3 linked regions of the Canis lupus familiaris genome follow. The protein of the gene in region 1 interacts with the protein of each later gene in a biochemical or structural test. Links are inferred from orthologs where the notes say so. Each region holds a gene or a part of one and is shown in the gene's direction. Other genes may lie near its edges.

The links. The genes of interacting proteins can lie anywhere in the genome.
Region 2: the proteins of MMP14 (region 1) and TIMP2 form a complex in vitro, tested with the Homo sapiens proteins (2 studies listed by BioGRID). The link is inferred for Canis lupus familiaris from reciprocal best matches to the Homo sapiens genes MMP14 and TIMP2.
Region 3: the proteins of MMP14 (region 1) and LUM interact in a biophysical measurement, tested with the Homo sapiens proteins (2 studies listed by BioGRID and IntAct, with this or other methods). The link is inferred for Canis lupus familiaris from reciprocal best matches to the Homo sapiens genes MMP14 and LUM.

The regions. Positions count from the first base shown.
Region 1 is NC_049229.1:3,313,125-3,316,866, forward strand, and holds part of MMP14 (matrix metalloproteinase-14), read left to right. Parts: intron 1-314; coding exon 315-475; intron 476-634; coding exon 635-773; intron 774-903; coding exon 904-1,054; intron 1,055-1,523; coding exon 1,524-1,639; intron 1,640-2,001; coding exon 2,002-2,336; 3' UTR 2,337-3,742.
Region 2 is NC_049230.1:3,368,297-3,372,477, forward strand, and holds the start of TIMP2 (metalloproteinase inhibitor 2 precursor), read left to right. Parts: upstream 1-1,381; 5' UTR 1,382-1,383; coding exon 1,384-1,513; intron 1,514-4,181. UniProt on the Homo sapiens protein: Complexes with metalloproteinases (such as collagenases) and irreversibly inactivates them by binding to their catalytic zinc cofactor. Known to act on MMP-1, MMP-2, MMP-3, MMP-7, MMP-8, MMP-9, MMP-10, MMP-13, MMP-14, MMP-15, MMP-16 and MMP-19.
Region 3 is NC_049236.1:32,103,359-32,107,381, reverse strand, and holds the start of LUM (lumican), read left to right. Parts: upstream 1-1,223; 5' UTR 1,224-1,471; intron 1,472-3,903; 5' UTR 3,904-3,924; coding exon 3,925-4,023.

The DNA.
Region 1 (3,742 bases):
TCTCCTCTTGGTCTCAGACCTGTGCATCTCGTTTCTCTTTCCCCATGCCCTATAGTCTCCCCCACAACCCTACCTGACTTTGCCTCCACCCACCACCCACTCCCACTTTTTCTTTTTTTTTACACTATTTCTTCCATATGTCTTATTCTTCTCCCACTTTTGATTTCACCTTTTCTGTCCTTTCCCACCTGATTGCTTCATCCTTCCCCAAAGGGCCATCCACACTTTTCCAACAGTATTGTCTGCCCATATATCTGTTCTTTCCTCCCCCTCTGCCACAAAGTCTGAAGTGTCTCTTGTGTTCTCTACATCAGGGAGTGAGTCAGGGTCCCCCACTAAGATGCCTCCTCAGCCCAGGACTACCTCCAGGCCCTCTGTCCCTGATAAGCCCAAAAACCCCACCTACGGGCCCAACATCTGTGATGGGAACTTTGACACTGTGGCGGTGCTCCGAGGGGAGATGTTTGTCTTCAAGGTGAGAGGAAGAAGTGGGCTGGTTGGAGGAACAAGAGGGCTCTAAGCCCAGCAGGCTGGGTGGAAATAGCAGCAGGAGGGTTAGTGGGACGCTTTGGGGACTAAGCCAGAGGACTAGCTATAAGACGTAATGTACTATCCCCACCCTGCTACTTTCTAGGAGCGCTGGTTCTGGAGGGTAAGGAATAACCAAGTGATGGATGGATACCCAATGCCCATCGGCCAGTTCTGGCGGGGCCTGCCTGCATCCATCAACACTGCCTACGAGAGGAAGGATGGCAAGTTTGTCTTCTTCAAAGGTAACCAGCTTTCTACCTTAGTCCTCTGGTGTAAGGAGAGTCTCCCTGCAGGAGTGGATTTCACTGGACTCCTCCAGAGACCCAAGAGCCCAAGTGGAACCCAGGTCCCGCCCTTCTCTCTCCTCTCCAGGAGACAAGCACTGGGTGTTTGATGAAGCTTCTCTGGAACCTGGCTACCCCAAGCACATCAAGGAGCTGGGCCGAGGACTGCCTACTGACAAAATCGATGCTGCTCTCTTCTGGATGCCCAATGGAAAGACCTACTTCTTCCGGGGAAACAAGTGAGATGTCAGCCCTTGACCCCAGGCCTCCCTCCTCGGACACTGCCACCACCACGTTCCCTCAACTCTGGAGAAAGACCCACTTACCCCAGGACAGTTCCCTGGAGAAGTTGCTGGTTGATCCTCTGCCGTTGCCCAGCAACAGCCAGCCTCCGTGAGGCGCTGAGTGGGAAGTGACCGGGTCACCGTTTCAGACCTGGTCATTTGGCGCCTCCTGCCCCCAGCACCGTGCCTCCACCCCAGCTGCCAGGCACTGTCATTAAAGGTTACTGGTGGCTCCTTGCAGCCTGGGACCTCCCATCCACCCCCACCTTCCGCCACTTTCAGCTGCAGGCCCTCATTACACAAAACCCCTGCCCTGCACCCTGTCCATAGCCACTCTTTGCTCACTGGTAAATTCAGTCCTGGGCCCTGCCATGCTCTGAGGACATGCCCAGGGCCCGACCATTTGCCTCCCCCCTTCCCCCAGGTACTACCGTTTCAACGAGGAACTCAGGGCAGTGGACAGCGAGTACCCCAAAAACATCAAGGTCTGGGAAGGAATCCCTGAGTCTCCCAGAGGGTCATTCATGGGCAGTGATGAAGGTGAGGGGCAAGGGAGATGTCCTTAAGGGAGGATGGGGAAAAGGGATTAAGAACTAAGAACGGGAAGAGACTGAGGGGATCTGGGGAAAGCAGTGATGATGAGAGCTCTGGAACCCTTGCCACATGCCAGGCTCTGAGCCAAGTGCTCTCCTCACATCAGATCCCCAATCCCCACTGCACTTTCAGCCCCGGTAATTTAGAATTACCCGGGTTTATAGCTGAGGAGACTGATGTTAGGGGATTAACTCCACCTGCTCGACTCACAGACTCACAGATTTCCCTTCTGTTCTCCTCTCTGTGGGTGTTCTGGACGCGGCCCCCACCTCTTATCCTCCTGGCCCCCTTCTTGCTGACCGCTGCAGTCTTCACTTACTTCTACAAGGGGAACAAATACTGGAAATTCAACAACCAGAAGCTGAAGGTAGAGCCAGGCTACCCCAAGTCAGCCCTGCGGGACTGGATGGGCTGCCCCTCATCGGGGAGCCGGCCAGATGAGGGGACTGAGGAGGAAACGGAGGTGATCATCATCGAGGTGGACGAAGAAGGCAGTGGGGCCGTAAGCGCAGCTGCTGTAGTCCTGCCTGTGCTGCTGCTGCTCCTGGTGCTGGCAGTGGGCCTTGCCGTCTTCTTCTTCAGACGCCATGGGACCCCTAAACGACTGCTCTATTGCCAGCGCTCCCTGCTGGACAAGGTCTGACCCCCACGGCTGCCCGCCCACTCATACCACGAGGACTTTGCCTCTGAAGGCCAGTGGCAGCAGGTGGTGGTGGGTGGGCTGCTCCCACCTGGTCCCAAGTCCCCTCCCAACCCTTCCTCCCTTCTTTTCTGTCCCATGATTGCCTCTCTTTTGACCTCAACCCTGGCATTGCTTCTTCCCTAGATGGGTCCCTGGGGGGCTGATCAGGGGCCGCCCCTTCCAGCCCCTATCCCCTAGGGGCCTCTGTAGCTTGGTGTGTGTCCTGCCCCATCTGAATGTCTTGGTTCTGCACTTGAAGGCAGGACCCTCAGACCTCGCTGGCAAAGGTCAAATGGGGTCATCTGCTCCTTTTCTATTCCCTGATGTAACTTTAACCTCTGAACTCTGACCTCAGGAGGCTCTGGGCACTCCAGCCCTGCAAGCCCCCAGGTGCACCCCATTGGCAACCTCCTACCACCCTTTCTGGCTAAAGGAATCTAATCTTGTTGAGGGGGGAGACCCTGAGAGAGTAGGAGGGGTGGGGGAGGTCTGCACAGTTACCCTGAAACCTTGGGAGGAAAGCTCAGAGTCAGCGCCTCTGCAGAGACCTGCCTCTGCCCCACCTGGCCCCCAGAGCTTCCCCAGAAGAAGCCTGAGCCATTAAGGGGCTGTAGAAACCCTTGATGCCCACCGCCCCTGCAAATGTCAGCCGAGGCTGCCGCTACTGGGGTAGGGTGGGGCCAAGGAGAGAGCCTGTCAGGAGCCCTGGGGGTGAGCCTCAAGGCCACAGAAAAAGAATCTTGCTCAAATGTAGGCAGCTGGGATGGGGACCAAGGGGCAGTCAGAAGGGGATAGGACAGGACCAAAAGGCTAACCGGGGAGGTGCTGTGCGCATGGAGGGCCGAGTGGCTCGGCAGGCCAGGCCAGCAGGGACACCACAAGGTGGGCTGTGGGCCCCAGAGGAGGGCATGTTTTACTGGAGCTCTGAGGAAGGGCTGGAGAAAGGCACACCTACTCCACTTTGGTGCCCTTCCTCTCACCAGAGTAGGTGCATTGGAAGGGTGGGGAGTCCAGTGAAAAGAGCAGAGATGACACACATCCAGGGACTGGCGACTGGGGACCTTCGTGAGGGTGGCCACCTGGTTAGGGAGGTGACCAGGGGCTGGCAGCACGCTGATGGGCAGCCTCAGCTGGTTTCGGGGAGGGGGCAGCTGCCTGGGTGGGTCTATCGTCAGGTGAGCCCCTCACTTCCTAATGCCCCCACCCCTCAGCTCTGCCCTGTCCTGCCTCCTCTCCCCCACCCAACCCACCCATTCAAAGTCTCCTCTGGCCGCTACAGGTGGTCATGGTACCGGAAGACTTGGGAGAGTGAGACCCTATAGGGGCAGTGAGAGGAGGGATGTCAGGGGCAGGGGGGTGGGGGGGGG
Region 2 (4,181 bases), on another chromosome or scaffold:
TCCTGTGGGCAAGAGCAGGGTCCTGTGTATAAGAGCACCGAGCACAGGGGGGCCCAGGGCAGCCTCGGTGACAGGCGCATGGTAGCCACACTTCACAGGCTTTTCTGCACCTGGGAGATCCGGCCTTTCTGGGAACACAGAACTGTTTTGGGGGGCGGAAGTCCTCAGTCCCACATTCGTGGGCTAAAGCAGAACTGTGTGAGCAGAGCCCAGCAAATGCTTCCCTCCAATCGCACCGCCTCCTGGACTCCTAGGCCCACCCCCCCCGCTCTTGTTGGCTGGTCAAAAATATGGCCAGTTTATATAAAATCCTGTTTTGTTCATAGTAACCACTCCCCCTCCCCCTCCGTCTGAACTGGCCAAGCGCACTTAAAATTCTAAGACCTCCATTTATAAAAGGAATCTCCAGGAAGCTTCCCCAGGCCACCTAGCCCCCCCACCCCACCCCAGGGGCACTGGTGGGCAGGGGTCCCTCCTTGAAGCGCACCAGGCCCCAGTTCAGGGACCCCCAGGGGTGGGAAGTGTCTGGCTCCTGTGCCAAGCTGGAGGGGAAGGGGAAGGCGAAGGGGAAGGGGAAGGGGAAGGGGAAGGGGAAGGCGAAGGGGAAGGGGAAAGGGGAAGGGAAGGGAAGAGAAGGGAAAGCGGAAGGGAAGTGGAAGGGAAGGGGGAAGGGGAAGGGGGGAGGGGGAAAGGGAAGGAAGGGGAAGGGGAAGAGAAGGGAAGGGGGAGGGGGAAGGGGAGGGGGTAAGGGGGAGGGAACGGGAGGGGGAAGGGAAGGGGGGAGGGGAAGGGGCCCCCGGGGGTGGGGGGGTGGGCTGCGAGTCCCGGGCGCTGGGCGAGGGCCCCCTGGGCGCCGCCCCGCCCCCGGGCGACCTGCGAGGGGCGGGGGCGGGGGCGGGGGCGGGGGCGGGGGCCGGGGCGCTGCGGGGCCAGGTGCGCGGCGCTGGGCCCCGGACGGTCGGCGGGTCCGCGCACAACAAAGCGGCGTCCGGGGGAGGGCGGGGGCGCGGGGAGGGGGCGGCCGGGAGCTCCCGGAGTCGCATTGGCCGCCGGCCACCGGGGGGCGGAGCCGACACGCCCCGGAGCGCGATAAAAGGCCGGCCCGGCCCGCGCCCGCAGCGCACGCATCCGTAGAAGGCAGCGCAGGCCCCGGTGCCCGCCGCCCCCGCCGCCCCCGCCGCCGCCGCCCCCGCCGCCCCCGCCGCCGCCGCCGCCCCCGCCGCGCCCAGCGCCCCGCGCCCCAGCGACCCGGGAGAGTTAGCGCGGGCGAGCGCGGGCCCGGTGCGGAGGGCGGCCCCGGCGCGCCCCGAGGCCAGCGCCCGCACACCCGCGGCGGCCGAGCCCCGCGCCCGCGCCCCCGCCCCCGCCCCCGCCCCGCCCGCCATGGGCGCCGCGGCCCGCAGCCTGCGCCTGGCGCTCGGCCTCCTGCTGCTGGCGACGCTGCCGCGCCCGGCCGACGCCTGCAGCTGCTCCCCGGTGCACCCGCAACAGGCGTTCTGCAACGCGGACGTAGGTGAGCACGCGCCCCCGCCCGCCCCCGCCCGCCCCCGCCCGCGCCCCCGCGCCCCCCGCGCGCCCCGCCCGCCCGCCCGCCGGGGCCCACGCCCGGACGCCGGCCTCGGGCCTCCCGGAATCCTGCAAGTGGACGCCAGGATCGCACTTTCTCTTTCCCCCGCGCGTCTCCCTTTCTTCGCCTCTCGCCGAGATGCTTCTCAACCTCAAAATTCCACCGAAATTCCTCCGCAGCCCCAGCCCCAGCCCCAGCCCCAAGAAGGGAGCCAGGGAGCCAGGGAGCGGACCGGGCTTGGCAGGCGCAGGGCCCGGGGATGCCAGCGCGGGGGGCGGGGGGGCGGGGAGAGAGGGGACGCGGCGCGGCGGGGCAGGCCTGGCCCTGGCCCGGGCGCGGGAGGACGGGGACCCCGAGAAACTTTCGCGGCCGAGCGGGAGCTGGGCTCCGCCCCGGGGCTGGGAGGGGAAGGGCTGGCCGCTCAGCCCCGGCCTCTCCCTCCAGCCCTCCAGCCCGGCTCGGGCTCACCTTGGCTTCGGCTGGGGCGGAGAGGGGAGCTTCCCGGCTCTGCCCAGGCTCCCCGGGCCGCAGGGGCAGCCCCGAGGGGCAGCCGGAGCCCCTGGCCCGGAGGGGGGCCCTGCGGCCAGGCCCGGTGGGAGGAGGGTCCGCGAGAGGCTCGCTGCCGGACCGCTTTCTCAGGACATCCCCGCACACTGGAGACTTGGGGCCAAGTGGGGCTGCGTGGCCGCGTAGGACCCTCGGAAAATGTCTCTCATGCTCTGCACCCTTGCCCCTCAAAGGTGGGGGTGAGCCCGGGAGGCAGGAGGAGCCCGTTATTTGTTCCGATCCTGGATCCTCACAGGGGCCGGAGACAAGTGGGGGAGAAGGTGGCAGAAATGGGAGGGACCAGCTGGGCCCCAGGACCCCAGAGGTTTCCGTCCGGGCCTCCAGCTGCCCTGGTGAGGGTCAGCCGGGATTTCCCAGGGCAAGTCTAGCCACAAGGACAGATGCACAGCAGGGGGGTCACTGCCCCCCCCCCCCCCACAATTGGCTTCTCAACAGGTTTATGTTGTGCTTCTAAGCCTCAGCCAGCAGAGCGTCCGGTTGCCAGGCCAGATGCAGTGAGGCTGGCTGCCCTCACCTGTGCAGACTCAGAGCCTGGGTCCCTGGGTTCCTCCTGTTGTCGGCCATGCCCTCCTGAGCTCCCCACGGCCCCTGGCCACACCCCAGTTGGCCCCATTGACCTGCCGCTTGGCCCAGGAAGACCTCAGGTGTTCTTACCTGTGGGCATCACATGGCTCCGGCCATCTTGGCGTGGGTGCTTGCAGAGGAGTTTTCCGTAAACCCCGAGGCAGGGGACTAAGTAAGGCTGGCTCCCCAACTTGGCTTGCCCAGCAGGTTTGAGGGCGATGCACATTGGCCTTCCCCTGGGGTGTCCGCTGGGCATCTGGGCCTGACCGGGCCCCTTTGCTGAGACACGGCCAGGCTCCTGCCCATGAAGCTGTAGGGCGGGATGGTCTCAAGGCCCAGAAGGAACCTCGTGAGGCGCTTGGGCTTGGTTCGCAGGAGCCTGCAGGAAGGGGCAGGGCCTCGGGTCCACCTCACACTCTTCAGCTGCTGGAAGAATTTCCAGCCGCTTCCTGGCCTGCCCAGTAAACCAGGGCAGCAAAGGGTCAGGGTCGAGGAGCTTCAGCGAGCCTTCAGGTTCCTTCTTGCTGTGTGCGTTCCTCTCACTCCGTCTGGATCTCCTGACACGTGTGTCCCATTTCTTCGCATCCAAATCACTAAGGAGCCTAAACTTTGACCCCGTCCCAGCTCAGAGGCCCAGTCGGGCTGCTGACACCAGACTTGCACAGCAGAGCCCCGGCTGTGAGATCCCTGTGCGCTGCACTGAATCCGCTAACGGGGGAGCCTCAAAACAACAGCGGTTGTCTCTGTCACAGCTGAGGCGGCCCGAAGTCCAAAGTCAAGGTGTTGGCAGGATGGGCTCCTCCCGGACACCCCGAGGCAGAATCTGCTCCGGGTGTCTCTCTCCCCGCTCCTGCTGGCTGCCGCCATCCTTGGCTTTCCTTGGCTTGTGGACACGTCACTCCAGCCTCTGCCTTCTTGTCTTTACGTGGATTTCTCTGCGTGTGTCTGTCCCAAACTCTCTCTTGTAAGAAGGACCCCAGTCCCTGAGTATAGGGCCCACCCGTATCCAGCATGATCTTCTCTTAACTCCATCACATCTGCAAAGACCCTCATTCCAAATAAGGTCACCTGAGCAGGTTCGGGGTGGACAGGAGTTTTCAGGGGAACTCTTCTGGCCATGCTGCCGCAGTTGGCCCTTCTGTGCTCAGTCAGCTTGGGATATGTGAAGCCGAGACACCCAGCGGAAGCCCTGGGTGGCTGTGGAGTTCAGGTCACTGCGAAGGCGGTGGTCTTTCTGTATCTGCTTCTCCTTTGAGGGCCGCTAGCCTGTGACTTTCTCCTGACGATCCCCCACTCTGAGAACCAAATGGCCTGGGGCCCTTTGAAAGATGACTCACGTCTTGGCCCCTTTGTAAATACAGAGAGTCTGGCCTGGGCCCAGCTCTTGCTGAGGGTTTTAAAAGCCTCACAGGTGGACCTTGTGCCACGAGGGCTGTGGTCCAGGGGCCCATGAAGGGTGATGGCCTTGCGCACATTGGGGATA
Region 3 (4,023 bases), on another chromosome or scaffold:
AATTATTTGAAATTGGTCTATTTGTCTTTTTTTTCTGATTTCTTCTAAGTTTATTCACTTTGTTATAAAACTGAGGCCTTTCTATAATGTTCTTAAAATAATAGTAATGAAATATTATGCTATGACTCACTTTACAATTCTATGAGTTATTTTCAAGATTATCTTTTGTTTTTTTAACAGCTCCATGACCAAAAAAAAAGGCACTTATTCTAATATTAATTTTTCAGGCAAATGCATTAGTGGTCAGGAAAATTAACTTTCCACAGGTCTCATAACTAAAAATGACATATTTAAGTTATTTTAGAATGGAAAAATCTTACATTGTGGCAATTTATGCTAAAATATCTGATTCTAAGAGTTCCTGTAAACACAAGGAGAATTTTGGAGGAAAAGTAAATCCTATAAATACAGCTGATACAATCACAACATGAAACAGACAAGAATTGAGTATATCCTTCATTTGCAAAAAGCATGCATCAGGAACTAACAATTAAAGACATATCAAACCAGGCCTTTGGGAGATTACAACTTTGCATAACTTCTAGTTTTGGAAAAACAAAATATTGCTAGCATGCAACGAGAGAGTGAAAGATTACTGCCTTGTGATATTTTTAGTGTACATTTTTTTCATGTTCTTTTATGTTTTTTGGCATTAAGCTATAGAATACCATCCCCAAGTAAGGTTTTGGATGAATTCCTAAATTAAATCCACAAAATAAGAAACAGGCAGGACATTGCTGATTGATTCCAGATCTGAATCGCATAAAATGAATCCCCTTAACATGAGAAATAGACTGGAAATGTTGATATTTACCTTTTATGTCAGAATGTGAACGAAGCATTTTTTCATATTTTGGCAATTGACATTAAGTCACCTCCCTGCCCCCGAATTAAGGTAGTCCCAGTAAATCAGTATAAACTTCAAGAGGAATGAGCCAGAAAAGATTCAATTGCTCTGAGGACCCATTTGCATTTTCCTGAAATTCTTTGTTCTGTGTATGATTCAGGAGACATTTAGATAAACCTGAGAGTTGAATGAGAGAATAGCACCTCATGTTGCCCCAGCTACAGAGGGAAAGAGCTTTCTTTGCCAGAGAAATGCTCCCACAGTGGAGGTCTTCCTTTGCAGCAGGACTCCATTCTTGGTTAAAAGCTAGAGTATTTGGACTAGTTAAGCATGAATCTCTCTCCCATTCCATAGGGAATGAGCTGGGCAGTCCTTCCTCCCCACGTCCACCTGCACTTCGTTAGAGAGCAGAATGCTCACATGCCACCCCACAAGATCCCCACAGTGACATAACTCCATGCAGAGACTGGCGTGACTGGGCTGGGTTTCCCCCCCTTCAGCTCTTGTATCACTAAGAATCTGGCAGCCAGTTCCGTCCTGACAGAGTTCACAGCATATATTGGTGGATTCTTGTCCATAGTGCATCTGCTTTAAGAATTAACGAAAGCAGTGTCAAGACAGAAGGTAAGTGCTGTTTTAACTATAGCACTGGGGATGCTGAATGTTTGGGACAGTGTTTATTGTAATAGGAACAGAAAAAATTCCAGAGCAACTTTGCCAGTTGCTATTCAACAGCAAATCCACAGTTTTGAGACTTTACTTTCACATTTTGCTAAACCTGCTTTCCATGATTTATGGATGTGAGATAAATTTTATAAGGTATACACTGCATTGCTTGGCAAAGGAAGCTATATACAAAGCTTCAGAAATGCAATGAGAAAGTATTTAAACGAGACATAGTAAAGAAGTTTGGCAATTAAAAGGTTTGTTATTTTATGCTAATTAGGTATATATGTTAGTATTGTTAGAACCTAATTTTGGAGCCAAGGAGGGCCATTTCCAGTAGTATTCAAAAATATTCTGCGATAAATGTGTTGTAACTTGTTACAATTTACAGTAAACATGTTATTATAAAATGTGAGCTAAAGAACTCAGACACTTAGGAATTACTTATTTCTGTTTTGTTAATTTTATCAATTTATTTTCTGGATGTATGTCTTGAGGGGGAAAAAAAAGCATGTTTTAAAGAAATTCTGGGAAAGACGATTTACTTTTTGAGAAAAGCATTTCCTCCATAGCCACAGGTATTTGGAAAAAACTGGGAGAAAGCAAAGTGCTCTTTTGCTTCATAGTGGAGTCATTATATGGTCACAAACTCTCTTTGAATTTAGAGCCCTTGTTTTTCCTTTGCCAGAAAGTATGGAAGCATTTTTTTCATCATAATTCAATACTCATATTATAGTGACCATGACTAGGTTAGTGTATACTCAATTTAAAATAAGGTGGAAGATTTTAATGAAGCAAGACAAATCTTTACAACATTAACATATTATAGCTTATAAATTATAACCTATAATTACATTAACACTATGTAATTGTTCTCATGGCCAAGTCCTGTCAACTAAATTAAATGACGCCATCCTTGTCTTAGGGAATAATTTGCCAAGGATCCGGCTGCATGTTACATTATGTCAGTTATCATAGTGATTCTAACAATTTTTTGAGGGTTTCATCTGCTAAAATAAAGTGCTTATAATTTCAAATAGAAGCAAAGAAAACTCCATTTCTAATGGCAAAAAATCCTATTTATCCCAAACCTCCTAGACACCAAGGCTTGTACCCTATTTCTCAAAAGAAGATATATTATTTTATGGTAGCTAGTGGAATGTGGATCCTGCCTCACATTGTGATTTCCCTCCCAGAGTTACCCCCTACCCCCCCCACCACAGCCATAACTCTCCACTCTACAAAAGTCCAAATTTCTACCTAAATTGCTAACCCTGTACTTCCCCCAAGCTATTGAAACGTATTTTATTGAGCCTTACTTAAGAAACATGTTCATATGAAGATCACTGTTACAACCCATTTTTAATTATACTCTCAATTTTGTCCTTTCCTACATGGTTCCTAATGCCACTGTTAAATGCAGACTGTCCTTAATTCCACCTCTTTCCCTCTTCCATGCTGTGAGGGCACTAAAATCCAGCTAAGTGAGCCATGCCTTCTTAAATTGTGGCATGAAGAAGGCAGAGAACTTGTGAGTTATTGAGAAAGGAAAACCTTAATTCAAAACTTGAAAATAATATATTTCTTTACCAGCTGGATCTCATTATAGGTTTAAGTTTTGTTTTGTTTTGTTTTTTGTTTTTTGTTTTTTTTTTTTTCAGAATCTGTGACATTTCCCTGATTAGTAAAAAGTACTTTCTAAAACTAATGTACTAAATATTAATTTTGGAACACAGTTGTGTAGTGTGCCTAAACATCTGGGATGCTAAAGAAAGTCAAAATAATAGGCACACACCCACCCCACCAAGAATTCCGTTCCTCCACCTCAGAACCAACAATATCCAGACATTTTTAAAGGAATGTGCCCCCTCTCACACACACATACATAAGAACAGCTTTCCTCCAGGCAAAACCATAGATTGCCCATGTTTCCCATAAGGGTCTTCTTAAAGAGACATTTTAATGATGGTGAATGGTGGGGTACAGGGTGCAGTTTACAGTCGTCTTTTCATTTTCATTCGTCCAGTTTTGAAGGATGCTCCGAAGCAGTGTACTAACATGGTGGCCAGTGCGCACCACCCAGAAACCTGTTGTAGGAAGGCATTTAATTACAGAAAGACCTAGAGAGATTGACTGGACAATTGGGCCTGACTTGCCCAGAAGGGGGCGCATGTGTATGCAGTCTGACCTGAACCCTGTTCACCACACCAGAAGTTGTACCCACACATCCTTCTTGTGATACTTATTAAAGTTAGAAGGACTTCATTAGAGGCTCTAAAAAAGTACTAGAAAATAATAAAGTACACATTTGCTAATGCATTTAACATTGCAAAGCCAATATCCTTTTCCTGAAAATATGCTATTGTGTAATATGTTTCCACTTTATTTAGGATTCAAAGCATTTGCCAAAAATGAATCTAGGTGTGTTTACTCTACTCTTGGCATTAATTGGTGGTGCCAGCGGCCAGTACTATGATTACGATTTCTCCCTACCGATTTATGGGCTGTCA